Linked DNA regions of Rhinolophus ferrumequinum. The protein of the gene in region 1 purifies or fractionates together with the protein of each later gene. This does not show direct contact. Links are inferred from orthologs where the notes say so. Each region holds a gene or a part of one and is shown in the gene's direction. Other genes may lie near its edges.

Region 1 (7,051 bases):
ACCCATCTGGAGTTCAGAGAGGTCCAGACTGAGATAAGCACAAGGTTTGAAGCCGAGAAACCGGACCATTGTCAGGGAGTTCAGTACAGAGAAAAAAGGAAGAGTTCCGAGGACTGAATCCTAGAGCTATCCGACGTTTGGAGCTCAAGGAGCTGAGGACGAACCAACAAAGAAATGGCCTGCAAATGATGCAAACAAATTAGGACAAATTAGTCATAAAGAACATGTAATAGCTTGAACTTGGATAGCATTCTCATGCCATACATTCCTCTTCTTCTACTGATACATATTCAAAACAGTCTCTTATTCATTTAGGGTTTGCAACACCCAAGAACTCACAGGAACAGCCTTTTGACAGAATCTGTTTATACCTTCTGAAACCTGCACTGAGACCCGGAACACTATATTTGTTCTTAAGAGTTTGATTATTAGTTTCAATTAAGTCATCAGAAAAGAATGAGGTTATTGTGTTTACTATGAAATACGAGTATATAAAAACAAAATGCAATAAAATGTCACTAATAACAAATTGAGATCGGTAGAATCACAGATGTGATTACACGGGGTTCAGCCAGTAATGATTTACAAATTTCTTTTGAATCTAGATAAAAGAATGAACACTCTTTGGAAGAAAACGAAGAGGGAGGTATTGAAGCAAGTAAAGAAAAAAAGCAGAAAGGTGCTGATATTCGCTGGATGAGAGGGAAGTTTGAAGAATCTTCTTAAATGGAAATTATAATAATCATTATCAGGAAGTAACTTCCCAAATGTTAAAGGTGGAAGACTTGATTTAAGTCTTCTCCTCTCTTGTCCTTTTGGGGTGAGAAATGCTGTGGAAATCCAATAAGCACTGCAGGAAGGAAACGGGTTAAGTTACAGTGCAAGACAACAATGTGGAGTACTATTTAGCCATTAAAAATCATCATTTAGAAGCATACTTAACTCAGAAAAATGTTTATGGTTGAGCAAAAATGTTTATTGTTGAGAAAAAAACAGATATTCTCAATTATCTCAAAAAAAGCAAGATATCTCAATTTTTAAAAATCTACATGCTAGGTAGGAGGGGGTGGGGATGGGGGAGAAGGGAAAGGGATTAGAAAGTACAAATTAGTAATCACAATATAGCCACAGGGATATGAAATACAGTTTCAGGAACATAATCAATAATGTTGTAAAGGTTTTGTAGGGGATCAGATGGGCACTTGTTTTATTAGGGAGACCACGTCATGGACTGTGTAGATGTCTGACCACTGCGCTGAACACCTGAAACTGAAGCTGAATAATGTGGAATGTCAACTATTTTATATATATGTATATGTATATATATGTATGTATACATATATACATATACATAATATATATATATTCATGGGATGTGGAGTACAGCATAGGGAATAGAGTCAGTGGAATTGTAACAGCTACATACCATATCATGGGGGGGATGGGGTTATCACTTTGTAAGGGGTGTAAATGTCTATTACATTATTTTGTTCACCTGAAACTAATAAAAAAAATCTACATGCATAGAAAAACAACTTCAAATATATAGAACAATTGATGGGAGAATAAGAGGTGATTTTAATTTTCTCCTAGTTGCTTTTTAAAATTTTCCAAATTTCTTACGAGTAAGTATCTTTGTAAAAATAAATGTATAAATAAAAATAAAAAATGAGGAGCTACTAAAACGCTGGTGAACTTCAAAGCCCAGAGAATGAAATCAAAGCAATTTCTATCATCTAATGCTCCAGTCAGAAGTTAACAATCACTGTGTGTATGTAGTTCTGTATGTAGTGTGTGTAGTGTCTGTAGGGGACAGGATAAGTTTTTACTTGGTTAGGTTTGGTTATCATAAAACAAATATGGGGGCAGCCGGATGGCTCAGTTGGTTAGAGCAGGAACTCTTAACAACAAGGTTGCCAGTTCAATTCCAGCATAGGATGGTGGGCTGCACCCCCTGCAACTAAGATTGAAAGCAGAGACTGGACTTGGAGCTAAGCTGCGCCCTCCACAATTGAACTGGCAACCTTGTTGAAGGACTAGATTGAAGGACATGGACTGATGGGTCCTGGAAAAACACATTGTTTCCCCCCAAAAAAAGAAAAGAAAAAAGAATACCATTACGAATAAAACCAATATGGAGAAAAGTTGAAAAAAGTCTGGCTAGAAACCGACATTAAATATTAATATATTACAAAATTGGCAAAACAAGTTTAAAATTTTAAGAGCCAAAAGGATGTGGGGAAGAAAACATTTTTACATACTATATATGTACAAATTCTTAGTAGTGATGGATATTAGCACAACCTTTTCGAAAGCAATTTACCAATAAGGATGAAGAAACACAAAATGTGCATGTTCAAAATGGTGCAGCCACTGTGGAATGGTTTGGCAGTTTCTTATAAAACTACACATATAACGACCCAACAATTGCACTGACATTTATCCCAGAGAAATGAAAACTTACGTTTACACAAAAACCTGTACATGTATGTTCACAGCAGCTTTATTCATAATAGCCCAGATGTTCTTCAAAGGGTGAATGGTTAAATAAAGCATGGATACTCAGCAATAAAAAGGAGTGAACTAGTGATAAACACCAACTTGGATAATCTCCAGGGAATGATGCTCAGAGAAAAAAGCAATCCCAAAAGTCACATACTATCTGATTCCATTTCTGAACGACTTTCACTGTTGAAATGACAAAAGTATAAATATGGAGACTAGTGGTTGCCAAGGTTGGGTGGGAGGGTGGGAAGTATGGCTATAAAAGGGCAATTAGAGGGATCCTTGTGGTGATGGAAATGTATTTTGAATATTAATGGCAATATTCTGGTTTTGATATTGTATTATAGTTTTGCAATATGTTACTATTGAGGGACACTGAGTAAAAGGTACTTGGGTTCTCTGCATTATTTCTTACAACTGCACGTGTGTCTACAACTGTCTCCAAATAAAAAATTTCCTTTAAAAAAAAAGTGTCTTCTTTTGGCCAGTTATCGCAAGTCTGGAAATTTGTCCTAGGGATATAATCCAAAATAAGAAAAAAGTTAAATGCACCAGATGTCCACTACATCGTTATTTACAACAGGGCAACGAAACCATCTAAGTGTCCAAACAAAAATATTTAGACAAGTCATGACATGGCCACCCAAGAATTAAGCAGTCTTTTGATACAGCAACAAAGAAATGTTATTTGAAAAGAAATGTTATTCAAAATTGAAGTACAATATGACAGCTCTGTGAAGGGGACTGGACGATATTACAAAAGTCTTATTAGTATTCCATGTGGACTTCTAGCAGAAATATTTGCCTTTCTTCAAACTTTTCGTAACGTTGTTACATGGCTTTCACATGATTTGGGGATGAGGGTGGGGGGAATAACAGTAAAGGACATTTTTTTAATGTTAAATTACAAATGTCGGAATCACAATAAAAGTTCTTTAAATTCGTCCCGCCCTGTAGAGCAAACTTCGTTTTTCAGGTTCCAGGTTTGGATCAAGAGCGCACCCAAGGGCCCGCAGTCCTGAGCCCGGGGCGGGTACCATTAGGTAGGTACCCGGTTGGTCCGCGGCTGCTGCTCCAGAGCTGCACTCAAAAGCCCCAACTCGGGACCCCCGAGCAAGGGCGAGGCCGCTGCCCGGAGGTGCAGTGACCACTCTAAGGTCACCATCGAGCCCGCAGCCGCGGCTTGGCCCGGCCAGGGCTCCCGACTCTGAGTCGGGGTCTTGTTCTCCGCCCCGCGCCCCTCGCCCCACCCGGAGCTGCGACCCCACTGCCCCAGGGTGGAGAATCTCTCTGTGGAGAATCCTCATATCGTGTCGGCGGCTGCCAAGGCCCACGGACCCTGAGCTGGACGCTCCCACCCACCGCCTCGAGCCAAGACCCCCGAGCGCTGCACTGTGGCGTAACCTGGACCAGTCCCCTCTTCCTTTTTCGCCCTCTCAACCCAGCTTTTCCCGACTCCGGGAAGAACCGGGAAGAGAAGGCGGAGGCGAGCGGGGCGCCGCCGGATAAATACTGTGGCCAGCCCCGCCCACCGACCTCACTTCCGCCTCGCGGCAAGATGGCGGCGCGCGGGTCCCGCCACGCAGACTTCCGCCTGGTGCTGAGACCCAGGGCCGGCGGTGGGCCGCGCCGGAGTTGAAGTTGGAACGCGCGGGGTGTTGAGCTGCAGTCCGGGTGTGCTGGGGTGCGTCGCTGCCTCAAGTTAGGCGGGACCTGGGGAGAGGGCGCGCCAGAGGCTTTAGCCCGGGTGGTCCGGGGAGTAGCCACGTGGGAGGGGAGGAGCTGTGACACTGCGGGAGGGACGCACTGACTGAGGGGCGGGCGGCCAGGTGGGTGGGGCTCCGCCCAGGGTCCGCGTGTCAGTCCCCTCGATTGACTTTGTTGTCCTTTTTCTCTTCCCTCGCAGGCGACATGTCGGAAGGAAACGCCGCGGGCGAGCCCAGCGCTCAGGGAGGGCCCCGACCCCTCCTCTCTGGGGCCCGGGGGCTTATCGGGCGGCGGCCGGCTCCTCCCCTCACCCCGGGCCGCCTTCCGTCCATCCGCTCCAGGGACCTCACCCTCGGGGGAGTCAAGAAGGTATCCGACTACCTTGAATTCCAGGCCCCTGGGGTTCAACTGATGTTCGTGTAGGGCCGACCGTGATCCATGCGTGATGTTGGGCCTTCCGGATCTCTTGTCCCCAGGTGTTTTGTTTCTTAAAACCCGTGAAAGTCACGCAGGCATAAACTTGGCCTGCAGTTTTAGAGAGTTCTGAATTCGCCATGGATCCCAGTGTGCAAACTTCTGGTCTAGAGTATCGTGAATCCTACTCTTGGCATTAGAGGCTCTGTTCCTCTCCCATTAGGTTTGTGACTGTTAGGCACTGCCGGCGACTCGCGGGAGACCAAGATTGGTCTATTAGAATTTGGCTGTTTGAGCTGCGGGAGGTCAGGCCAGAGCAGAGGGAAAAGACCATAACCTCCCCAGCAAAGAGGAGTATGGAGTTTTATAGGAGGGGTAAAGGAGGCTGTTCCCCCTTCAATGCCTCAGGGGGTTTTTGTTACAAAGGGTTTCAGGGCACGACCAAGCCCTCCAGCTCCATACCCTGGCCCCAGGTCGCCGTCCAGACCGCCCAGGCTGATCACAGGCCCCTAGGAGATAAAGCAAGATAGGATCAAGACAAGATGGCTTTTAAGATAAAGTTTCAGCTCCTGGCCTAAACATGGTTTAACAATAACAATACATGTAAAGAATTGCCCTGACCGTGGAGAGGTGAGGGCGATGACAGAAGCTTAAAGCAGCTGGTTTTTAAAGACTGAAGTTTGCTTAGGGAAATTCTGGCGGCAGTCTAATTTATCATCTGTTTGTGAGTGCCGGCAGCATCTGTCTTTCCTACTTGAGCCTTGCTGCTAGAGCTCTTTCCCTATGATATTCACTATTTTATTATTTTACTATGACATAAGACCAGGTATAATACGATATATAACCAGGTCTTATATTAATTTTTGCTCCAAAAGACGCATTAGAGCTGATTGTCCGGCGAGGTCTTATTTTCAGGGAAACACGGTAAATTCCTTTGCTCTTAGAATTTCTGAGGGCTCTCCTTTCAGAGAGCAGAAGCTGAGGCTGCTAGTTTAAATGGTTTTTGGTGCCCCTTTCTTCTGTGTATAACACTACTGCCACCATGACATGACATTTTTCCTTTACAAGCATGAGTCTTTTTCTGTAAATCTTTGACAACAGTGTGGAATGCGCAGAAGAGCCATGGTGGTCTAGGTCCACATAAGAAGCCCTTTGGGAGTTTTTCGTCTGTATGTTGGGATCAGAATTTACCAAATCAGTGACTCCTGTATTTTACTTTCAGAAAACCTTCACCCCAAATATCATCAGTCGGAAGATCAAGGAAGAGTAAGTAACTAGGCCTTCTGAGTATTATTTACTTGCTCTGAATTTGGGCCTTTTGGGAAATAACTAAGTATGTTGCCCAGAAATTTAAATTTGTGTATGTATTTAGTTCTTTTCACTAGTGATTTTCAACCTTGGCTCTCAGATGATTCTAACGTGCAAGCTTGGAACAATACTGATGCCTGGGGGTCCGTCCCAGAAATTGTGGTTTAACTTGTTTGCAATGAAACAGTGATTATCTTTTATAGCCAGAGTTGAGAGTCACTAGTTTAGGCAAAGATGTATCAAGTTTTCCCCTGAAGTTATTTTGCATTACAGCCTACCTGCTTTCAATCAATACAAAAAGTCCACATTTTAGAGCTGTCACTATAATTTAACTTTTGAGTTATAGTTCTAATATATACTCACAAACAAGAAGATAAAGTAAAGCAAACTGAAAGGACTACCCCATCAAGGAAGTGTAAAAGGTACTAGATGTTGTATTGGGTTCTGTTTCTCATGATGTAGTTGTTGGCTGAGGTAGAGCGGAATGGTGTGGGAAAATAAGACCAGTTCTCTGAGGCAGGGTGAGTGAGTGCTGTCCTTTAATCCATTCTCTTTTCCAGGCCTAAGGAAGAAGTAACCATCAAGAAGGAGAAGCGTGAAAGGGATAGAGATCGACAGCGAGAGGGGCATGGACGGGGCCGGGGTCGCCCAGAAGTGATCCAGTCTCACTCCATCTTTGAGCAGGGCCCAGCTGAAATGATGAAGAAAAAGGGTACAGATGTGCTGGGGAGAAAGGGATCAGTGGATGTTAGTTCACACTGCCTGATAGAAGGGCAAGGGCAGTGGAATTTCCTAGCTCCCAGTTTAGTTTTCGTTGCTAATGACCTCTTCCTTCCCCCTGGTGAGCTGGATGTTTTCCCGCAGGCAATTGGGATAAGACAGTGGATGTGTCGGACATGGGGCCCTCTCATATCATCAACATCAAAAAAGAGAAGAGGGAAACGGATGAAGAAACAAAACAGATCCTGCGCATGCTGGAGAAGGATGATGTGGGTACCAGCAGGCTAGTCAGAGGAGCCTTCTTTGTAGCTATGGAAAGGGCCTCTGGGAGCCAGGGTTGAGGGAAGAAGCCTGATGAGCAGCAGGAATCTTCGGTTAGAAAAGGGCTAAGATAGAT
Region 2 (7,928 bases), on another chromosome or scaffold:
TTCCGGTAATTCATATAAGAGCCAAAATGTTCAATCTGCCTGGAAAACACCGTTGGCTGATTTTCTCAGTGGAGTGCAGGTTTTTGGGCCACTATATACCATCTTACTGTCACTGCCCCCCACCTCCACCCCACTGTGACCCTCACAGCAGCCCAAAGTGGCCTAGAGAGGAGCCCAGAGCCAACTCACTTCTTCATGAGGAAGCGGTTGATGGTTTTCTGCTTCCGCATCACCTGGACAATCTTCCGGTTCAGGTAGACAAAGAGTGCTCCCCCGAAGCCACTGGCAATACTGGAGAGGAAAGAAGCATCCGGGTAAATGGGGATCTTCCCTTTTTTCCCTCCTCCTCTCCAACATAGCCCAGCTCCCTCAGCTCCTCACCCTATGACAGCAAAGGCTGGGAGCTCCTGGAGATCAAAGGGAAAGTCAAGCCGGAACCGGGTTTTGAAGAGAGCAGTGATGGTCTCTGGAGGGAAGGCAGAATAGCAGAGGGAGGTAGGTGTAATGTTGAGGCCCCCCCTAAGCCATCTCGGGGCTCCCCTCATCCCCCAGGACACCCCACCTTCATCACGGTTCCAAACCGCCAAGACCCGGAAGATGAAGGCACTGAAGGTAGCAGCAAAGAAGCCCCGCCAGTAGTTGCGCACAGCGAAGAAGGTGGAGGTGACCTCAATACTGAACAGGACCCCTGTGAGGGGCAAGGAGAACACCACTGGGGGCCTGGGCCTGGCCTCAGGACTCAGACCGAGATGGGAGGGCAAAGGAGGTGCGGCCAAGGCAGGGCTGGGGCCTGGCCTGGCTGTGTACCTCCGATAGGTGCTGCAAAACAGCAGCCCACTCCCACGGCACAGGCAGCGGCCAGCATCTCTGTGTTCCGGGATTCGTTCTGGCCAGAGTGGTGGAAAGGGGTGTCAACATGGGCTCAGCAGCCCACGCCCTCCTCTGCCTTTCCCCAGGGTCCCCCTTACCTCATAGATGCCCCCGAAGAGGGAGAGGAACTTGCTGAGCAGGGCAGCACACATGCTTGCTATATGCACAAAAGGGCCCTGGGAGGTGGGGGCAGGCAGTGAGTGGGGAAGGGGCACAGCCCGACCCTGCCCTGGCTTCTTCCTCCACCAGGAGGGCCTCTTTCATTCCCCAACCTGCAGTTACCTCTTTGCCAAGGGGCATCCCGCTGCCCAGAGCACAGGTCAGCCCAATGACCTTTGCTACAAAGGTCTTGAGGGTGAGGTATTCCTTTAGCACCACACCCCGCAAGATGGTCTTCATCTCAGGGATGCCGGACCCTGGAGTGGGTACAGTCCCAGGAGAGTTATTTGATGTGCCCATTTCAGGGGGTTCCACCTCTGCCCTCCCCTCCTCTCCTACTGTACCAACAGCCTGAGGAGCCAGGATCTGTGTGAATCCCGCTGAGAATGTGATGAGGACGACAGGATAGGTGACCCAGGCCAGGTACTGGAGGAAGAGGCTGGTGTTCAAGCCCCGGGACATCCACTGCTGAGCTGTGGGGAGAGGACATGTTGCCAGACCCCTGGTGTGCATACCCAGTGCCCGCCTGGCCACTGGGACATACTGATATGATGCACTGTCCAGGGAATATCATACAGAACCTCGGTACGCGGAGCAGGGAGGCGGCCCTAGAGAGCCTTCACTGGGACAGAGATCATTGTAGGTAAGAGGGTCAGTTGGAGAGCGGAGGCAAGAAGTTGTGGCTTATGGAAGTGGCAGTGATTATGTCTGAAGATGGGCATTCAAGCTGGCCAAGGAGCCAAATACTTGGACAAGTGTGGCACAGAGGAAGCAGAATGGTGCTTCCCAGCCCTCCTGCTGCCAGCCCTTGTCCTCACCCTGCAGACAGGCAGCGATGGCATAATCCATGGCCCAGCTGACCAGTGCCATGAGGAGCCCCAGCAGGACCAGGAAGATCCAGTCTTCACCAACTCTGGACACTAGGAACTTATGACAGCGTACGGAACAGACTGGGAGCAGGAAGGGAAGAATGGTGGGCTGTCACCAAAGTGCTCCTACCCCTGTCCCCCCAGCTAGAATGGCCTCCATCCCCCTCAGCACAGTACAGCCAGATCCCCTGCCCCAACCCAGGTCTCACTGCGGCACCGGGCACAACGGCTCTGTCCATATTCCAGGAGCTCTGGGGGAACCCGCGGGGACAGTGGACCCCTCCAGGGCTCAGGCCCTCCTAGGCGGATCCGAGCAGCTTCCTCTTTGGCAAAGGCCCCGAGGTCCTGGGTATACCGGCCATACATCTGAGCAATGGGAAAGATGGGGGTTAGCAGACATGTGTGGGCTGAGGGGGATGCAGGGAGGGCCCCTGGAGCCTCAGCTCCCCTTCTCCCAGTCCCCACATTATATACCACCTCTTGAACCCACACTCCCCACTTTGGCTTGGGGTGTGGGAACAATGCACATTGCAGACTGTGGGGGCTGTCCTGGCCTGAGTGATGGGACAGCCAAGGTACAGGAACACAGCTCTAGGGGGTGGCAAAATAATCAGTCCTCTTCTCACTGAGGAGGAGTGGGAGGGAAGGCCCCAGAGGAGGAAAGATGGAAAAACCTAACACAGTCTGAAAGTGGGAGGAGGGAATGTCAGAGAATAAGGGATGGTCAAGGGCATATGGGTAACAATAAGGGCCTTAAGGAGCTGGGGGCAGCTGAGTTGGGCCTAGGAGCAGGCGGGGCCCCAATCCTTATCACGTTCCTGCCAGGCCTCTGGCCTGTGACCCACTCAGCTGCACCCCTCCCACCTACCCTAATCCCCTTGTTCCCATTCTCCACCCCCACCCCCCACCACTTTGCCAGCCCAGCTAGGAGTAGAAAGTCTCTCTGGGTAGGTGGACAGTACTTGGTGGCCTCAGTCCACTCTGGAGCTGCCCTGAGTCCAGTGGTGGGTGAGGGGGACAGAAGAAGCTGTGGCCAGGCTGTGACTGCGGATGCTGGGGTGATGGGGTGGGAGCGTCTCTGAGCCAAGGCTAGACCAGCCAAGCTGGGTGTGTGTTGGGGGGTGGGGAGTAGATTCCGGCTGCCACCCGCAGAGCTTCAGGACACAAGGGCTCCTGTTGGGACAGGGGGTGGGGAGGGAGGGAAAGATAGGGACAGAGAGAGAGAGAGAGAGAGAGAGAGAGAGAGAGCGAGCAAGGAAAGGGAAGAGAGGGAATCAGGGAGGAGAAAAGGAGGAAAGAGAGGCCAGGGGAAGGTGCAGGGAAGAAAGAGGAAGAAGGGAGGAGGAAGGGAGAGAAAGAAAGTGGAGTATAAAGAGGCAGATAAACACTGTTGGTTGGAGCTGGGAGGTGAGCCTGTGAGAGAAAGACAAAGGGATTGGGAGGAGAAGGGGGAGAGACCGGAGCAGAGAGTGCCCGGGCGAGAGCTTGACCCTGGGAACTCATTCCAGAGATAGAGACCCAGGCGAAGGAGATGGAGATGTGCTGGTGCAACAGATAGACACCATTTCAGAGCCAGGTGCCTGGCTTCCGTGACCAATGCCCCACTCTCAGCCTGTGCAGACGGACAGACACCTCCCCCCCATGTGAAGGCTTGCCCCTCTACCCTTGCTCCACCCCCACCCCTGCCACCTCTCCCTGTCATCCTGTTCCATCCAGTCACTCCCTCTCTTAACTGGGCAACTCCCAGCCTCAATTACAGCCCAGGCCCCCTCCTCCTGGAGAGGTTCCCTCCCAGACTCCTTCCTGGGCAAATTCCAGGACCAGCTGTTACAAAGGAGACACAGGGCCCACTCCCTTCCCAACAGTTTGGGTCCCCCACTCCAGTGACTACAAGAAGGGGCAAAAGTCTTCTCAAACACTAAGTTACAGTGGTGGCCATGAGTCAGCTCTGAGCCCCAGGACCCCTGCTTCTAAGGAGGTCAAGGCACACCCCTGGGGTGGGTGGGGGCTGGCTACTCAAGAGTGAGCGTGGACAAAGGTCCCAATTCCCACATCCATTCCTGCTTGACCCATCCTCCCTAAAGCTCCTGTCCCCTAGGGTGGCAGGCCACCTTTGTTCCAGGGAATAGACTGAGGGGTTCCTGCCAATGCTGGGTTGCCAGCCTGCAAAGGAAGGGCCTGGGTCTAGATTTGGGTCTGATCATCTTTCTGCATATAGAAACACTCCTGATGCCTAGCACAGTGAAATGCACTTACTGGAAACAGAGGGCATGTAATGGATGGTGGAGATAAGAACGTAAAGAGAGAAAGTTCAACAGTGTGAGCAGTGCTGGGGAGGAGTAGTGGGGTGCTGAGACGGCTCAGGTGGCGAGGGGGAGGAGCAAAGAAAACGTGGGGGGGAGGTAAAGGGAAGGACACCTGGAACAAGTACCTGATGTCCTTGTCCTATGCAGGTCCCCAGCCTCAGCCAGAAACCTGCATGCAGTTTTCCACCCCTTAGCCCTTCAGCCTCAGTTTCCCCAGCTCAGAAGGCTGGGGTGAGGTTTGGATAGGCCCCCGGTCCTCGCGCTTCCAAGGGTAACCCGAAGCAGCAGTTCTGGAGCGTACACTTCAGAGCTCGGCTCGGCTTCACTTACCAGGGTCTGCTCGTACTGCAGCGCCCGCGGCTCCATCCCTTCCTCTGCCGCGGCGGCCGGGGCGGCCGCCATCTCCGCGCACAGCCCTCGGGCCTCCCACTGCGGCTCGGGCTCCGGCCCGGACTCGGCTCCCAGCCCGCAGAGCCCGCACCCGTACCCGTCCGGTCCCCGCAGCCCGGGCGGCCAAGTGCAGAGAGCCTCACGCTCTCGTCCCCTCCTCCGCGGGCGGGCAGAGGGCGGTGTCCTTCGTGGTGCTCCGCCCGCCAGCCCATACACAGGGACCGGCCCAGCCTGGTGGGGGTCTGAGTTGGGGCGGCCTCCCGGGCTCGGGAGAGGCGGTAGGGGGCGCTAGGAATGCTGGAGCCGGCGCCCCCACTTCGCGGAGGCCTGAGGCTAAGACCCGGAGGTTCCGCTGGCACGTGCAGGGGCCCGGCGGTGTCTGCGGCCCTGGCGGGAGGAGCTGGAGACGCTGGGGCTCGGCTTGGGGCGGAGGACGGCAGAGCCGTCTAAATCAGACTCTCTTCGGGCCCAGTTTTCTCTCTAGAGTGGCTCTCTTGCTTCTCCCGAGGGGCCAGCGGCTCTGATGCGCCGCTGCTCCGCCCGGGGTGAGAAGCAAAGCTGCGGGGACTCGGAGGGGAACGCTAGGCCCGTGGAGGGGGGCCCTAGGGGGGTGTGGAATGCTCGGAGCTGAGACCCTCGGTCTCTCTCATCCTCTCCCTCCTTCCCCCCCCCCCCCCGCGGCTGCCCCAGGGAGGTGCACCTGGAGCAACCTGGCCTGCAGAGGGATGCGGGGGGCCAGGGGGCCGGTGATTGGAGGTAGGGAGGGAAAAAGTGAGCCTGAGGAAAGGGAGGTCTAGGTGCCGGAGAGGCGGCTCCTGGGAGGCGGGCGTGAGGGGACAGAGGTCGCTTCTCCCTGGCAGGGCCCAAGGAGAAACCCGAGTAGCTGCTGACGTCTCGCTGCCTGAGGGGAACGGCCTGTTGGGGCTCTGCGTTCTCTATCAGGGTCCAGAGAAGGATAGAGCAGAGGGTGGGGTGAGCACAGGGTGGATGGACTGTGTGTGTGAGATAGTGTCTGAGAACAGACAGTGTGCGGCAGGAGGCAGTACCAGGATGAAGGGGCATGTGGGAGGCAGAGGTGGTGCCCCGGAGGAGGGGGCACTGCCCACGAAGGGGTCAGTGAGAGGAGCCAGCTCTCTAGAGGAAGGGACTATGTAAGGGAAGAGTACCTGTGGGAGAGGACAGTGCCAGGATGAAAAGGCACATAGATCAGTGTCCAGAGGGAGAGGGCGTTGGTGGGTGAACGGGCGGTACCAAGCTGGAGGTACAGTGTTCAGGAGCGTAGCGTGTTGGGGTCAATACAAGGCTGAGAGGGCGGCGTGGGGGAAGAGAGCAGTGGGGGAGGGTGCGGTTCCAGGGGAAGGGACAGTGCAGGCTTTCCTCTTCCCCTTAGTGACATCATGGCAAATTCCCAAACTTGAAAGGACTCAGCTCAGGTGACATCCAGCTGGGCAGAGCCGGCCCGGGCCGGCCTGGGGGGCCTTAGTACCAGCTGGAGGGGTTGGGTACTGCGCCCTGCTGGGCCAGCGCTCTGGGGGCGGGGTTCTGCTCCGCCCTCCCTTGGCGCGGACTGTGCCCTCGGCGGGCACGCGGACCGGCAGGGTAGGGCTAGGGCCGGGCTCCTCTGGGCCAAGGATCAAGGTCCCTGGCTGGCGTAGGCCCCCAGGCATTCCAGTCTTCCCTACTGGGATTCTAAAGAGGGCGCAGTAGAGCTTCAGCAGAGAGTGAGAAAACGCGCCACCTCGGCCAGAGGTGGGACCTACCGTCATCCCGCCCTAGGGCGGAGTTATTTGAACTTGAGACCCGCCCTCAACACTGAAGCAATTGTTCGGGGCGGAAGTTAGGAAGCCCCGAGAGCCAGGCGACGGAAGTGGCCGTCTTACTGCTTGTCGGTGCGCATGCGTTGTTGTATTCTCTGACTGCTGCTTTTCAGGCGCTGCGTTTTCCCCTCTTCTTTCCTCCACGCGAGTGGGTGCACGTACTCTTAGTCGTGGTCGCGCGCTAAGCCCTTGTGCTGCTCTCGTGGCCCTTTCACCATGGCGGGCATCCTATTTGAGGATATTTTTGATGTAAAAGACATTGACCCGGAGGGCAAGAAGTTTGACCGAGGTAGGTAAGGTATGTAGGGCAGTTTGGGGTTAGGGGCTAACCTCGTCCTTGGGGACACGTCCCTGTGCCTTTGGTCCACCTAACTCACGTGGTCTGCCCCTAACGGCAGGTCCTGATGTACGACCTCTCTTAGAAAACGTTTTATAGATGAGAAAAGTGAAACTCCGAACTCTCTCTGGGTTCATACATGTTGTGCCCTCTTCCTGCGTGGCCTTTTCGCGTGGTGCTAGTAAACTCCTGGGCATCTTTCTAATCGCTACCCACTCTGTGCTAGGCGCTGTATGGTGCACCTTATACACATTTTGTCTTACTTATTCGTTTCAAGAGCCTCCATGAGTAGGTGGCGTCTCACCCTTTTTGCTCTAAGAGCTAGCTGCACAGCGAGTTATCCGACTCCGGAACCTATATTCTTGTATTGCCCTTAGAGTCTTTAGCTCTTTGTGAAGTCCTCTCTGATTTACAGTTGACTGCTTGGAAAAATAAAGAGTAGCTCTTTATTCTGTCATTGATCTATAATTGTTTCTGGTGTCTCTTCCTTTGCCTAGAGACTGAGATGTACTTCAAGACAACACCAGTTCTTACACTTCTGATAATCCCCTCTGCACAGCACCTGGCACAGAAAGACAAAACCTTTGGATGAATGAATAACTTTCCCAAAGTCAGGTTGTTTCTTAATCACCAAGGCAGGCTTAGAATCTGGATATTATTTATCGCCAGAGGACCTTTGATTCATTTCTGGGGATTATGCCCACTGGTCATAGTTTTCTCTCCTTATTGCCTGTTTGGTTCTAATTGAGCCTGAACTTCTGTGAGAGCAGATGAGAGGCCAGTGGAAGCACACTGTGTTAGATTGAGTGTTCTGTTGCATATGGTCCCCCAAAGTGGGGTCTGCAGGCAATTACCTCTGCCTCTCTTCCTCTGCTTCCCTCTAGTGTCTCGACTGCATTGTGAGAGTGAATCTTTCAAGATGGACCTTATCTTAGATGTAAACATTCAGATTTACCCTGTTGACTTGGGTAAGTATTGAACACAGACAATAGCAGAAGACTTTTTGTCATTTCAGCTGTTCTTCACCCTCAGATATTACCATTATTTTCAGGTGACAAGTTCCGATTGGTCATAGCCAGTACCTTGTATGAAGATGGTACGCTGGATGATGGTGAATACAACCCCACAGATGATAGACCTTCCAGGTGAGGGAGTGGAGAAGGGAGTATTTGAAATATGC
Region 3 (7,535 bases), on another chromosome or scaffold:
GGAAAGTGGACAGGAAGTAGGAGGGCAGGGAGGACCAGTGGAGTGGTAGCTGCAGTTCCAGACTTCAATCCATATTTTAATTACCAAGTCTATATTTAGCAAGACAATGTGGGAAAAATAAAAAGGAAGGAAGGGATGGGTGGTGAGAGGGCCTCCCGGGCGCTGACCCACTTTCTGCACTGACTGCAGAGCGCTGCAGTCCTGGCCACGAGTTCCTGGCCTTGTGCCCTTCGGAAGCCCCGACCAGCATCAAAGGAGGTACTTAAGCAGCTCCGGCTCTGTGGCAGCTGCCGACCCCATCAAAAAGACACATGTCATCAGCACTGTTCTTTAATTGTCCTCCACTCCGCAGCTGGGGAAGACGGGGCTGGCCCAGGATTTCAGGTGGGGTCAGTGTGAGTGCAGGGTCACCGCGACGGCCTTGGTTGTGGCATTGAGCACGACAGCTGATAGCCTCGCAGCAGGGAGCACGGCAGGGATCTCTCTGGGAACCCTCTGCATGGGTGGGATGTTGGGACCCTCCAGGGTGTCCAGGATCCCTGCGAGGGAGATGGAAGGTGAGCGTGAGCTGGCGGGGCACCGCCCTCGGCAGCGGTGGCCCCCTCCCCGCACCCCAGCCTCCTGGCACTTACCCTCCACCACCTTGTGGTAGGCAAAATGCAGATAGAGCAGGAAGAGCATGTGCAGGGCAGCCAGGGTGCCACAGAGGAGCAGCCGCTGCGTGGGGCCCACAGTCCGTGACACCAACACTGCCACCTAGGACCACAGGAATACAGCTCAGGGGGCCTGGCTCCAGTGTGGGGAAGCCACTCCTCCCTAGAGCAGAACCATCTTTGGGCTCTGGCGTCCCACTCAGAGCCCTTTGTGGGGTTTTGCCTGCACTAGGGGCTGCTGCCCCCACCTCCCCAGGAGGACAGCCCCTGCCCATCTTACCATGCGCAGGGTGGATAGCCCCCCCACCAGCAGCCAGAAGAGGTAGAAGAGGGCGTGGAGGTGGATGTTATAGGTGACGAACAGGACGATGCAGTGCCCGAAAAGGCCATAGCCCTAGGGAGGAGGATGGTGGAGAGGAAAACCATTCAGGCCGGGCTGGCCTCTGGACCCTCACGGAGACCCTGAGAAACAAACGGTCGAGCGGCCCGCTTACTCCATTCCCAGCCCTGGGGCCGCAGCACAGATGCAAACCAAGGCCTGGCTCCTCTTGTAAGACCACCCTTGCCCACCACCGTGCTGGACTCCTTACCAGCAGCGCCAGCGTCTGCAGCATGGTGATCTGGGCGTTGCACAGGTAGGCGAGGAAGTAAATGAAGGACGAGACACCCAGCCAGTAGCCGAAACAGGTGCCAATGGCTGTGCCCATCAGGGTGCCCTCCCGCTGTGGGGGGAAGGCTGTGCTTAGTCCTGGGAGGCCAATGGCCTCAACCTCACCCAGGGCCGTCCTCAGGGCTGCTTCTAACTCGCTCCACCACCGTCTCTTTGGGCCGCTTTCAACTCAGTTCAGCCACCCCCCAGCCCTTCAAAGTCCTCTGTCCTGCTTACGATAATGGTGTCAGATGTCTTCATCCCGTGGAGGAGGATGGCAACCAGTGTGAAGACCAGCATGAGAGGTCCGTAGAGCTCACCTGCGATTTTCTGTCAATATACCAACTCATTCAGGCTGGACGGTACAATGGCTCTTCTGTTGATTTCTCCCCAGGCTTTGTCTGGTGGCCCCACCCTCTGACCGGTGCCTCCCCCCGGCTCTTCTAGTCATGCCACCCCCTATTCACCTGGGGGAAGTTGACCATCTTGATGGGGATCATGGACTCCAGGAGCCTGGGAGAGGAGAGGAGAGGAGAGATGAGCGCAGAGGCAGCACGAGGCTATGAGGTTCTCAAGGGCCTGAATCTCACTCACTTCTCTAACTCCAGAGAACATGCTGGATGGTACAGGGAGAATGAGGAGATCACTTCCTTGCCCCTAAAAATACTTCCAGGAAGGGCAACCCTTTGATGCTGTACTGACAGCTGCAGCAGCAATATGAACTCAGGGAGCCCCGCTGGGCCTTGGGAAAGGGCTTGACAATTTACATATGTGACGTGCTCCCCTCTAAAAGGCAAACTTCAGCAGAGAATGCCCAGAATTCCACACTGTAATAGTGCAGGTTACTTGAGGGAACCAGTGTGCCTCCTGCCTCTGTCTGCTTACAATTGCCCCAGGCACTGTCGAGCATTTTCTTAAAATACATTTGAAGTGGTGTGAAAATTCCAGGCAGAAGGAATACAAGTACGAGTACAAGCCACTTCCCCGTTCTCTTAAGTGGCTAGTTCCTAAAAATACCTTTGAATTTGGCTGGATTTTACCCTCCTCTGTGAAACCTGCCCTGTTCCACCTCAAGCCTACTCTAGGGTCAAGAGTCCCTTCTATGTGTCCCTTCATAGCAAATGAGTGCTACACTGTAATTACACTTGAGAGCAAAGCTCTCATCTGGCTTCACCACTAAATCAGACACAGCTAGTAGAGTACCTGGCACAGAGCAAAAGCTTAGTAAGTACTTGCTGAGTACACTGGGTATTTGGTAAGCAAGACTTATGCAAGTATGAACAAAGAAGCAAGCCAAAATTAATTCCAGTTTTTGAAATCATTCAACAACTATGTACCAATATTCTGATTCAGAGGTTCTTCTGGTGCTTGGAATGAAAAGATAAACAAAACAGAGCCTGCTTTTGAAGTGGTCTCTGGGGAGACAGACTCAAGAATAAGAAAGTACAGCCGTGCTGAAGTGTTATTTATTAGGGGAAAGCGCAGAGCAATACGGGAGCACCAGGAAAGGACAAACCAGGGATGAGGCTGAGGAATGGGGAACAAAGGAAGCGACATTTGAGCTAGGTTTTGACGAAAGATGAGTAGCTTACTAGATGGACAAGAGGAAGAAGGCAGTGTGTTATCAGCATGTCCCGTTCTGGGATTGAGAGGAGGAATGGCGTGGCTGGGGTACGGGTACAACGATGAAGGCTGCTGGTGTCATGAAGACGGGTGTCTAAGGACTTGGTCTCTGTCCTCTGAAGGACTAGGTGTGAGGAGGGCAGCTTCCGTCAGGAGAAGGGTCCTCACCTGCTTCGCACCTGGGCAGGCTCCACATCAAAGTAGGGTCTCAGGATGTCGATGTTGGCATACAAGCTGAAGGCCCTGGAGGCTTGTCTCTTTCCTGCCTGCCACATCTGAAGAAAGAGGACGGGCGGGGTGGGTGGCTAGTGTGAGACTCTTGGCTCTCAGCCCTGTTGCTGATTTTCTGTTGGATTTCTACATGGTTCTAACTGGACAACCTGGGGTGACTGACCGTCATCAACACCAACTCCAGAACCTGGGGCCTCCTAGGTGTTTTTTTCCACCTGCCAGGCATCCAGTCTTGCTTACCTGATCAGCCACCTGCCGGCTCAGCTGTCCCTTAAAGCCCTTCATGCCCAGGAACTCCCCATCCTCTTCTTCAGCAGCGGCTGCATCAGCATCGACTTCTTCCTCGCGCAGACGCTGATGCAGCTCACCCATATCCTCGAAGCTGGAGCCTGACGTATCATCCATGTTCTCCATGTCAATCACAGCTGAACCCCCACCCTGTGAAGACAATAGCTCCTCGTGTGCAGGACCTTTCTGCTCCATCCATTAAGTGTTTCTCTGTTCCTCCCAGGACTTGGGGCTTTGTCCTTCCACTGAGGGGGATATGGCCCGGAATCACCATAGATGGTGCCACTCTTCTCCTCATTTGCTCTCAAAATCTTTCTTGTTTGGCTCTCTTTTCTAGCCTGGGAAAGTACTCCCTACCTTTCATACATGTCTTCCTCCTACCTTCCCTACCAAAGTCTCAAAGGGCTACAAATGTGCCCAGTTCCTTTGTCTCTCCCAACCCCCATGCAAGGTTGTGCACACAGTATGGTTTTAGCCAGTGCATTACTCCCCCACCCGCTGCCATGCCTGACCCCGACCGACCTCCTAATTTGTCCCGAAAGCAAGAGCGGGTCGGCCCAGAGAGCGAGGCCCTCTGACTGGAGTACAAGTCTGGCCTTTTCTGGTCATCACTGGTCCCACTGACTTTCGTGTGTGCTCGAAGAGCCAAAGGAGAGAACCAGTGCTGCAAATGGAGCAGACTTCCAGGCCCCGAGGGAGAGTCCCCACGACACTTCTGGACGACTGCCGACCCTGGGGCAGCTGGCAGCTGAAGCCTTGGGGCCATTACCTGGATGTTTTCTTCGAACCCTCCCCATTCTGGGCCAGCCCCGTTTCGGGAGCCGCCGGCCGGCGCCGCCGTAGTTGCCATGTCCCTCGAGGGCTCCCGTCGCGGAAGCCTGCCCTAGCCCCGCTCGTGGAGGAGTGGGAGAGACGTAGGCCTGAAGAAAGGAGAGGTCCAGGGGCAAAAGGGAGGCGGGATCAGCCGGAATGCAAAAAGGAGAAACCCGGATGTTTGGCCAAAACTAACTTCCGGAAGCTGGGGACGTGGACGGAGACAGGGCAGAATCTCGCGATATTTAACCTTGAAGGCGGCGGGGCGTTGCCACGGAGACGGAGGAGGGCGATTAGAACGCAAGCGCCAGTTGCTACCCTAGTCACGTGGAGGGGTTGAAGATGGCGGCGCCCCAGGCAGTGGAGGAAATGCGGGGCCGCGTGGTTCTCGGGGAGTTCGGGGTTCGCAATGTAAGCCTTGCGGTCTTGAGCTCGGGAGGAGAAATGAGAGTGGAACAGGGATGAGTTGGGATCGGAGTGGGGACGGGCTTGGCCTCGCTGCCCCTTCGCGGACAGACTCTTCTCTGCTCTAGGTTCATACCACCGACTTTCCCGGTAACTATTCCGGCTATGATGATGCTTGGGACCAGGACCGCTTCGAGAAGGTGGGTGGAGCCGGAGGTGTCCGGAGAGGGTATGAGGATCGGACCGTGTGATCTGAGCAGCCTGTGCCTCAGAAGCTGTCCTTGGGTTTCGCTCCGTTCCTAAAACGTTTATTGAGCACTGTGTTAGGCGCTCCGTGTACACGGTTTCTGCTCTGGTCTGCGAACAAACTCAGTCTTGTTGGGGAAGAGCGCGCGTAAGCAAATGATTCCAGTATAATGTGGTAAAGGCGGTTGATAGCACTAAGGATGACCGGAGGTGGGTCGGGGGCTGTCCCATTCCGCAGAGGCACTTAATCTAGAATGGGGAGGAGGGCAGAAGTAAAGTGGGTCAGCATGAGTGGTAGGCAAGATTGAGTAAAGTGTGTCTTAGACACTAGGTGACAGAGCAAAGGGGAGATAAAAGGTAGGTTTAGTGATTGCTTTGTATCAGCCGTGAGGGGAGACTGTCAAATGACGCAGCTTGGGGAACTGCTTTGATGGATGGTGGTGTCATTTATTGATGAGAACTGGGGCTGGGGAATGATGATGATACATGCTTTCAGTTTCCTTCAGGTGGAGAAGTCTAGCAGGCTAGTAGAATATATGTTTGAATTGAGGTCAGAAGTGAGATATAATTTGGGGAGCTGTCAATAGAGATAGTTGCTAAAACCATGAGTGTGGTTGAGGTCACTCTGGAGAGAAAACTTGGGAAATAGGTTTGGGAAAGCAAAAACTTGGGAAATCGTAATATTTATGGAGTAGGTGGAAGACAATGAATTTGGAAGGATTGATCAGAGAAGGGAGAGAACCAGAAGATTGGTGCTCAGAAATCAAGGCAACAGAGTTTGAAAAAGGAGGGATCCTATCAACAATGCCAGATACAACAGAGGAATGTAATAAGGATCGAGTAGTGTCTATTGGACTAAGCAGTGTGGAAGCGTGTTCTTTAGCACAGTAGCCTTTGCGGATGGTCTGGCTGGAAGCCGTACTGCAGAGGATTGTAAATGAATGGAAGATGAAAACAGGGAGACTTTTAAAAAGAAACTCATAAAGGAGGACTTGGAACATCTAATGAGGGCCATCTGGGCAAAGGGAGGTTTTTGGATGAGACAGAATGTTAATACCTTGAGGGGAATATCGGAGGGTGGGGGGGGGGCCCGCAGGTATTGACTATACAGAGAGCAAGCATCATTTAGTGTTTTTCTTGTCCCTTTAGAATTTCCGCGTGGATGTGGTACACCTGGATGAAAACTCATTGGAGTTTGACATGGTGGGGATCGATGCAGCCATTGCCAATGCTTTCCGACGCATCCTGTTGGCTGAGGTATTGGTGGGTCTGGCGACGGGGTAGAGTTGCACGGGGAATCCATGCCATTGACCTCGCTTGTAGAATTGTGTCAAGGTTTATTTTTCCTGCCGTTTTGCTGAGCATTCCTCTTGCTCATTTGTAAACTTCTAATCAAGGCTTCTTCTAGGAAGAGGTCTCTCCCTATCTCTGTCAGCCGGCGGGGAATAGATGCGGAGTCTTTAAGGTCTTTGTAGATGAGTGGTTCTGTTTTGTTGGGCAGGTGCCAACCATGGCTGTGGAAAAAGTCCTGGTGTACAACAACACATCCATTGTGCAGGATGAGATCCTCGCCCATCGCTTGGGGCTCATTCCCATCCATGCCGATCCCCGTCTTTTTGAATATCGGAACCAAGGTGAGGGTTTGAGAAAATGAAATTTGGGGGAAAAGGGAGCAGCTCTCCTCCGCAGAGTAGATTCTAGAATCAGACTGCCTGTATTCAAATCCTGGATTGACTACTACAAGACCTTAGGCAAGTGACCAATCTTTTGGTACATCATTCTTTTTATCCATGAGAACCCCTGCCCTTGCCTTACTAAATTTGTCCAGGATTACAGGAGAAATTGAATGCATTCAGCATGGCGCGCAAATATTCACTAGTCCTTTAAGAGCTGCCACCTCCTCCCTTTGTGCAGGAGATGAAGAAGGCACCGAGATAGACACGCTGCAGTTTCGGCTGCAAGTCAGGTGCACTCGGAACCCCCATGCTGCTAAAGATTCCTCTGACCCCAATGAACTCTATGTGAACCACAAAGGTGCGTGTTGATTGGTAGGGTAAGGAAGAGGGCCCATCTGGTGGTGGGTGCCGGTTTTAGGGACTGGGGTCTTCTTGATGTGCTTCTCCCTCCAGTGTACACCAGACACATGACGTGGGTCCCCCTGGGGAACCAGGCTGACCTCTTCCCGGAGGGCACTATCCGACCAGTGCATGACGACATCCTCATTGCGCAGCTGCGGCCTGGCCAGGAGATCGACCTACTCATGCACTGTGTCAAGGGCATTGGTGAGAACCCTGGGGGCTGCCCTGGCGAGGAAGGTAGTTCCCATCCAGTGGCGTGAGGTGTGACTGAGGGACTCAGCTAAGATGTGATGGGCAGAAAGCCAGTGGGCCTTTGGGAACGTGAAGAAGGGTTTTCCCACAGGCGCTGTTTTCCCTCTAGGCAAAGATCATGCCAAATTTTCACCTGTGGCAACAGCCAGTTACAGGCTCCTGCCGGACATCACCTTGCTCGAGCCCGTGGAAGGGGAGGCCGCTGAGGAGCTGCGCCGGTGCTTCTCACCGGGTGTTATTGAAGTGCATGAAGTCCACGGTACGGTATTTGGTCAGGTCAGGACCTAAAGTATGTTT
Region 4 (7,293 bases), on another chromosome or scaffold:
TAGTCTCTTGGTAAAAACAAAAGTTGAGATCTATTCCCAGAAGAATAGAAACTAATTTTCAATTTTATTTCATACATATTGAGACCAATAATTTAATTTAGCGTATAAACTTTAGTAGCACTTTGGGGAAAAACCATATCTGGCAAAATTTAATCAGGAAATAATTCTTTGTAACACTTCCCTCTTCCCCACACACCCCCCCTCCCTCCAGACAACCACTTATGTGCTATCACTGTAAATTAGCTTGCATTCTCTTGAGTTTGATATAAATGGAAACCAGTATATTTCGGTTTTGTCTGGCTTTTTTACTCAGCATAATTTGAAATTCATCCATTCCTTTTTATTGTTGGGTTATATCCCATTGTATGTATGTATATACCACAATTTGCTTATACACCTATCTATTCATGGATATTTGGGTTGTTTGCAGTTTGAGGCTATTACAAATAAAGCTGGCAGAACAGATTTTAAGTTAAAAGTTTGTATTTGGTAAAGTGAATCAAATAAGCACAGTTTTGTTTCAGTATTATTGATAACAAAGGCCACTATAAGTTTACATATTAAACTTTAAATTCAGTTATTTCTTTAGAATTTGGGCAAATCAGATAGTTCAGATAAGAGTTATATTTACATACCGAAGGACTAACTAGTTTGCAGCAAATAAAAAATCACCTGGAAATTATGTTATTATGACCCTTAAATCATAATTTGGAATCTGTAATAATAAAATGAGTATCAATTTAACATTTAAAAAGTTTATTTTTAAAAAAATTCTTTTTTAAGTCATAAATGTGGGCTAATTATCTAAGAATCTCTCTTTTGTGTCCCTGCTAATCTACATTTCTGAGGTGCGTATTATAGCCTGAACTAAAATTTAATTTTTGAAAAGCTCGATAGCATTTCTTTACAGAAAATTAAACATTTAAAAATAATAGCTAAACTCAACAACAAACAACCCACTTGAAATATGGGCAAAGGACTTGAAGAGACTTTGGATGTCTCCAAAGAAGATACACAAATGGCCAATAAGGGCATGAAAAGATGCTCACTGTCACTAATCATTAGGGAAACGCAAACCATCATTAGGGATCACAGTGAGATCCCACCTCCTACCCATAGGACGATCATCAAGAAAACAACCCCAATGTTGGCTAGAATGTGGAGAAATTGGAACCCTGTGCATTGCTAGTGGTAATGTCCCATGGTGCAGCTGCTATGGCAGTTCCTCAAAAAATTAAAAGTACAATTGCCATATGATTCAACAATTCCATTTAAAAACCACAATATTGATGGATACGTATTTATATATATATATATATATATATACACACACACACACACACATATACATGTATACACACACACACACACACACACACTCAGACATGTGCAGGTGTGCTTTTCATAGGTAATTGTAAGGACTAAATTTTCCAAGGAAATGTAAAGTGAATCCAGGTTTATATATCATTGAATTGAAATTGCTTCCCCGGAAAAAAAAATGTGTGAGAGGCCTTTTGGGACCTGCCTTACTCTCTTAACTCCAGCAGCTCTATCCTTTACTCGGAGGGAGAGGAAAATAGGAGCACTAAGAAGTTGTTCTTTGAAGTTGTTCAATTGAGAATTTTTTCCTTCAATCTGTGAATAAATCCCACGCTGTGCTCTGTGCTTACAACCAACATCAGTTATAAACAGTTTTCAGATTCACTGTTATTTTGAAGTACTCTTTAAAATGCTTGATGTAAGATATCTTAATGGGAGACAAAGAAGCCCATTTGTTCTTTGAAAAATCTTACAGACTAAGTTCACCAAGGACGCTAATAAAGTCTATTTTAAAAACTCCATTGTATGAATAGTTACAGCAGAATTGGCTTCTCTGAACCATATTACTTATAGGTATATCTGCTCTACTCACCAGTACCTCTGGAATTCTGGTAATAAGATTGTCCAGCTGATCTGTTGGGGGAAAAAAAAGGATGTAAATAATATGTAATAATTGACAGTTTTATAAGCATTAAAGTATTTTAAATGAAAAAGGACAATATTGCATATGCTTTTTACTTTTCATGTTTCCATCAGACAGAATGTCTTGCAAATTTTCTCCTGTAATTCTGGTTATATTCTACTGGTTCCAGACATTTTCAAAGTGAGTTGTCTGGGATTTTTACCTTACCAGACAAGAGTCACTTTAAGCCAGATTTGTTCTTACTTTTATAGCCTCCTAATCTAATGCCTACATTGAGTTCAATAAAGTAGTTTGGGCTTCTGTGCTATCCATAATATTTTCTTGTTCTTTTTATTTTTAATAAAGTAATTTGGCTATGGAAAAGACTGTTTTGTTCTTTATTGTATATAATTAAGGTGAACTGGAACTAAGTTGGTCTGGAATGTTTCTAATTTTGGACAAGTTCTTTTCTCAAATTAAGACTAAACACCCTTCCTTCCCTGTCTTTCAATTTATTCAATGAACAAGAGTTCACTGATCTCCTGATATACTAGGATCCAGCACTTCACTAAGCACTGTGATGAACAGAAAAGAAACACAAAACCTCATCCCATCTTTAAAAAGTCTTCAATCCACCAGATGAATGAAAGAAAGAAGAGAGAGAGAGAGAGAGAGAGAGAGAGAGAGAGAGAGAGAGAGAGAGAGAAAAAAAGAAAAGAAAAAAAGAAAAGAAAAGAAAAGAAAAGAAAAGAAAAGAAAAGAAAAGAAAAGAAAAGAAAAGAAAAGAAAAAAAGATGGTCATGGGTGTAGCAGGAGCCATAAAACTGTGAGCTGAATTGCAGAGGAACACCGGCACCTCTCCTTTTTTAGGGAATAACGGATGAAAAGGTACTGCCTCCAGCAGTGATTTCAACAACTAATTCTCTTTAGCATTCAGGAAATAATAGTAAAAATCTGCTCAAAACAAACGGATTTCTGTGTGAAAATGTCTAGATCAAGGTGCCTTTAATATTTATAGTCTGTTTTACTGGCGATTATGAATCCCCATTTGACATAAAGTCGCCAATGTCACACACAGGGAACTAATTTATTGACTTGGAAGCCTTCGGTTGAGCCAGGGGACTCTGTTCCCGCAGTCTCCCCTCTCTCCCAGCCCCGCTTATGTAGCGATCCCGTGGCCAGATTTTTTCAGCAGGTTTTGCAGCGCCCCCTCGGGACAGAAAGATGCACGCAGGCGGCTGTCGCAGTCATCGCGTGCAGTCATTGCACCAAATCCTCCTCCTCAGAAGCCCTTCCCCTAAACAGTGAGTCGGTTTCTAGTCCCATCCCAGCCACAACAGAGGGTTCTCCCGCCTTTCAGTTCAGTGCACTGCGAACCTGTCCATTGGAGCAGCCATCTCTCAACCCCTCTTCTACAGGGAGATCACGACCCGGGGCCGGTCGCCATCTCCCTAACCCCTCAGGGCCCCGCAGCCTCACCCGCCGCCGCCGCCCTCGGTCCTGGCCACCGTAGGCGGCTCTGTGGAAGAGCTGCACTCCGTCCAGTCGGACATCGGACCCTGGCCGGGCATTTCGTCCCGGGTGCCTGGACTGCGAGCTGTGTGCGGGAAAAGCTTTCCCCACCTCCCCTCCCCGGTCAGCACGCGTGCGTCAGGCCGGGTGATATTGAGGGTGAAGAGGCGGACGCCGGATTGTAGCACCCTCCGAGGCGCTGCGGACACTGCCCGAAGAGCTTCGGGAGAGCGGGGAGGGCAGATCCACGATCCTGGAGTTAGACTAGGGGAGGGGCGGGAGTTCTTTAGTTGCTGCGCGTTTTGCACGTTGGCATCTTTTTGTGGAATGGATGTGTCACGGAAACGAAATACACATGCCCTCCAAAACAGGAGGTGCCTTCCACCTCTGTATTCCAGACCCTCAGCAAATTACAAATCTTGAGTGTCACCATATAGGTCAAACATCAGTACGCAAACCAAGGACCCAAGCACCCAAGCACCCGGCGCAGGAATGCTGAGTGTTAGCCGTTATCCGTTATCACCAAGGCAACCAGGCTTCGCCAGTCGCCCTTCCGCGGATTTCCGCCAACTTCGTCTTTGCACGCGCAAACAACCTCCCTCCTTCCCGGGGTTTTCTCAGGACTCATTTCACACGGGATTGGCCTGCGGGACGTTCCGTAGTCGGAGGTGTGGCAGAACAGAAGACGTAAACAGAATTTGGATTGTGATTGGTTCGCACGTTGTGTTCCCGGAACTCCGTGAGCATCGCGCATAGCAGTGAGACCCTTGATAGGTACTGTGCGGCTGGCGGCCGGGGAAACCGTGGGATCCGACATGCCTCGGTATGCGCAGCTGGTCATGGGCCCCGCAGGAAGCGGGAAGGTGAGGACTTGGCGGGAGAAGGAGGGACAAATCGCAATTGATGGGAAGCCGGGAGGTTCGGGAACGTGTGTATATTGTGGGCCCTGAGACTCTGGGCAGCTCGCTTCTGCAGTCTGGGCTTCAGGGTCTTTTTTGTTGTTTTGAAAGGGGTATAATGATAGTTGCTGATATTTATTCTATGTTTATACCCCAGATAATGCGCTGAACGCCTCATTTATTTTCCACAACAACCCTGTGAGATAAGTCCTACTATTCCCATTTTACAAATAAGGGAACACAAAAAGGTTAACTTTCTGCCCAAGATCTGATCACACAGCTAGTAAGTGGCGGCGGGAATTTAAATCCGGTTTTAGCTAACTCCAGAATCCGGCCCTGTCTTGCCCCCACGAGGTTAAAGTGGGATCTCGTTAACCACTGTTTCTCGGAGCTTAAAACGTGGGATTCTGGTATTTGAGGCGATTTTAGGACGTACTAGGCCCTGGCGTCATGAACATTGAATTATATATTGAGCTAGTTGCTCCCTTTTCAGTTCTTTCAGTTTGCATTGAGGTGAAACTGTCAGTTTGATGCTAGTGTATTTTCAACACATATTTAAAATCCCCAGGTCTTTTCAGGGAGAGCTTAGACTCAGAGCTTTTGACAGGCAATTATATTTAGTTAGAATGAAAAGAGTTGTGAAGTTGTATTTAATTTTATGGTTACCTTCATGTTATAAATATAACTGGTTTTCTGTTTACAATAATGATATGGTTTTTTCTTGTAAACAAATATTAAGGGAAGGGAAGAATATTAGGGGGCATTCAAATATGGTAGAAATAGTGAAAATATTGGTCAAGTAACAGGAGTATAGGAAACACTCGAGTCTGTGGAGGTGTTGTGTGGCTTTAGTCATTTTTTTAAATTTTTATTGGGGAACAGTGTGTTTTCCAGGACCCATCAGCTCTAAGTCAAGTCGTTCGCAATCTAGTTGTGGAGGGCGCAGCTCCCTGGTCCATGGGGGAATCCAACTGGTGAAGTTGGTGTTAAGAGCACTGCACTCTAACCAACAGAGCCAACTGGCCACTCGTGGCTTTAGTCTTTAAATGAACACATTGTTCCGAGGCTTGCGCTAATCTCGGTACAGGAGATATACATGTGACTGATATGGCCCGGTATGTATGTATAAAGTCACTTATGGGGTGATTCTAGACTGCTTTTCAGACTGATGGTGTTAGAAAGCATTTTTCTACAAAATTTTGAAGCCTACTATCAAATACTCATTGAGCCTGTTCTTTGTGCCAAGCACTGTTCTGGGCTCTGAAAATTGTGTTATTGAACAAAACACACACACGCACAATCTCTGGCCTTGTGGAATTCATATTTAAACATTAAGTCAGTCAGTTAGACGTAATTACCAAGCATTTCTTATGTGCCTTCAAGTATTGTGCTAGTCCCTGGGCCTGTAAAACTGAATACGACACATCCCTGCCTTTACATAGAGGGTGGGAGAGGTAGACAAGTACCATGTTTCCCCGAAAATAAGACCTAACCGGACTGTGAGCTCTACTGCATCTTTTGGAGCAAACATTAATATAAGATCCAGTCTTATTTTACTGTAATATTAGACCAGGTCTTATATAATGTAATGTAATGTAATATAATAATATAATATAACATAACACCAGGTCTTATTCTCTAAACCAAAAGTTGCAAACTCATAGCTGACCTCCATGCTGTTTATTGACCTCAATGCTCCTCATCTTGGAATGCTCTTCCCCTGGCTTGGCAAGTACTGTCCCATCCCTCGGCTCACACATCCCCTCCTCAGAGATGTCGGCTCTGATCACCCTGACTACAGCTTTGCTTGGACTCTACAAGTCTTTGTGGATACACCATGTGTTTCGTGCTGCACTATGTCATTGGAAATCCTCCCTTTAAATTCCTCTTGTTGCACGTTAGAGTAGTAAAGGAGCCTTAGTGATTGTGGAGTTCATCCTAGTTAGAGATGAGAAAATTGAGGGGCAGCATGGAGAAGCAGCTTCCCCAAAGTTACCCAGGAATCACAGCCAAGTTGAATCTACAGTCCAATCCAGTGTCTTGGCTCCCAGCCTGGTGCCCTTTCTGTTTTCAGTCAGCGTCTTGGCCGATGAAGGCATAGTTTTATCCTTAGTAGACCCTGCCCAGGGGCTGTAGAGTGTCCTTCTGGGGTGCAGAGGGTAGCCCTACACTGCTGTTGCTCTGACCCCTGGTCCCTTGGGACGTTACAGAGCACCTACTGTGCCACCATGGTCCAGCACTGTGAAGCCCTGCACCGGTCTGTGCAAGTTGTGAACCTGGATCCTGCAGCGGAACACTTCAACTACTCCGTAATGGCTGGTGAGTCCTGGGCAGTCTGCTCCTTCAGGAAAAATAAGGGGGTGAGGAGGCAGTGAGTGGGGCTGCGCAGCACAGAAGCTGAACAGTTAATTATTACAGTCTGGTTCCCTGGTTTCATGGTGACCAGCATGAGGCGGAATGTCATTGTCATTTGCTGACACCCACTGCTGTTGATGTGTGTGACAGTATCCTTTCTTGGTCTCTGCTGTACGAAAGAAAAGTGAGTAGATGCCTCCCTCCTCACCCTCCCCTTCTGCCCCTTTCATGCTTAGTGCTGCTGTGCTGAATCTGGTTTACTGCTGATCGCAGTATAAATGAGCAGCCTGAGTATTTTGTTTTTTAATTATTTTAATTCATTCAAGTGTCTGTGGAACACCTACTTTATGCCAGATCCCAGGGTTGCAGCAGAGAACAAGACAGATACTATCCCTGCCTTCGTGGACCTTTTGCTGGGGGAGACAAGCAATAAGCAAGATGATAAATGTGTTACAGATTGTAGAAGGATGGCAAACAGGCTCATGGGAGGGAATGACGGGGAGGTTGCTTTAGGTAGTGCAGTCAGCGACGGCATCATGGGGTAGTTGGGCCCAGACCTGAAGATGTAATGTGCTCACCAGGCTG

Evidence for each region. The genes of interacting proteins can lie anywhere in the genome.
Region 2: the proteins of POLR3D (region 1) and POLR2H purify together in Homo sapiens (affinity purification with mass spectrometry; 4 studies listed by BioGRID and IntAct, with this or other methods). This does not show direct contact. The link is inferred for Rhinolophus ferrumequinum from reciprocal best matches to the Homo sapiens genes POLR3D and POLR2H.
Region 3: the proteins of POLR3D (region 1) and POLR1C purify together in Homo sapiens (affinity purification with mass spectrometry; 6 studies listed by BioGRID and IntAct, counting the BioPlex papers as one, with this or other methods). This does not show direct contact. The link is inferred for Rhinolophus ferrumequinum from reciprocal best matches to the Homo sapiens genes POLR3D and POLR1C.
Region 4: the proteins of POLR3D (region 1) and GPN3 purify together in Homo sapiens (affinity purification with mass spectrometry; 3 studies listed by BioGRID and IntAct, counting the BioPlex papers as one, with this or other methods). This does not show direct contact. The link is inferred for Rhinolophus ferrumequinum from reciprocal best matches to the Homo sapiens genes POLR3D and GPN3.

What each region holds. Positions count from the first base shown.
Region 1 is NC_046301.1:44,199,646-44,206,696, reverse strand, and holds the start of POLR3D (DNA-directed RNA polymerase III subunit RPC4), read left to right. Parts: upstream 1-4,049; 5' UTR 4,050-4,179; exon of another isoform or gene 4,180-4,189; intron 4,190-4,411; 5' UTR 4,412-4,416; coding exon 4,417-4,581; intron 4,582-5,848; coding exon 5,849-5,892; intron 5,893-6,494; coding exon 6,495-6,646; intron 6,647-6,798; coding exon 6,799-6,923; intron 6,924-7,051. UniProt on the Homo sapiens protein: DNA-dependent RNA polymerase catalyzes the transcription of DNA into RNA using the four ribonucleoside triphosphates as substrates.
Region 2 is NC_046285.1:60,795,481-60,803,408, reverse strand, and holds the start of POLR2H (DNA-directed RNA polymerases I, II, and III subunit RPABC3), read left to right. Parts: upstream 1-4,914; 5' UTR 4,915-5,117; coding exon of another isoform or gene 5,118-5,139; intron 5,140-5,942; exon of another isoform or gene 5,943-6,524; 5' UTR 6,525-6,627; coding exon 6,628-6,700; exon of another isoform or gene 6,701-6,709; intron 6,710-7,632; coding exon 7,633-7,716; intron 7,717-7,799; coding exon 7,800-7,893; intron 7,894-7,928. UniProt on the Homo sapiens protein: DNA-dependent RNA polymerase catalyzes the transcription of DNA into RNA using the four ribonucleoside triphosphates as substrates.
Region 3 is NC_046286.1:12,846,903-12,854,437, forward strand, and holds the start of POLR1C (DNA-directed RNA polymerases I and III subunit RPAC1), read left to right. Parts: upstream 1-4,521; 5' UTR 4,522-4,599; coding exon 4,600-4,668; intron 4,669-4,790; coding exon 4,791-4,862; intron 4,863-6,057; coding exon 6,058-6,165; intron 6,166-6,409; coding exon 6,410-6,542; intron 6,543-6,822; coding exon 6,823-6,942; intron 6,943-7,037; coding exon 7,038-7,190; intron 7,191-7,347; coding exon 7,348-7,497; intron 7,498-7,535. Other genes in the region: protein YIPF3, read right to left, coding at 391-539, 633-756, 934-1,047, 1,244-1,375, 1,540-1,632, 1,770-1,815, 3,094-3,200, 3,397-3,594 and 1 more. UniProt on the Homo sapiens protein: DNA-dependent RNA polymerase catalyzes the transcription of DNA into RNA using the four ribonucleoside triphosphates as substrates.
Region 4 is NC_046308.1:6,149,076-6,156,368, reverse strand, and holds the start of GPN3 (GPN-loop GTPase 3), read left to right. Parts: upstream 1-4,279; coding exon 4,280-4,317; intron 4,318-6,379; coding exon 6,380-6,386; intron 6,387-6,554; coding exon 6,555-6,672; intron 6,673-7,293. Other genes in the region: protein FAM216A, read right to left, coding at 1,913-1,953, 3,422-3,513. UniProt on the Homo sapiens protein: Small GTPase required for proper localization of RNA polymerase II (RNAPII). May act at an RNAP assembly step prior to nuclear import.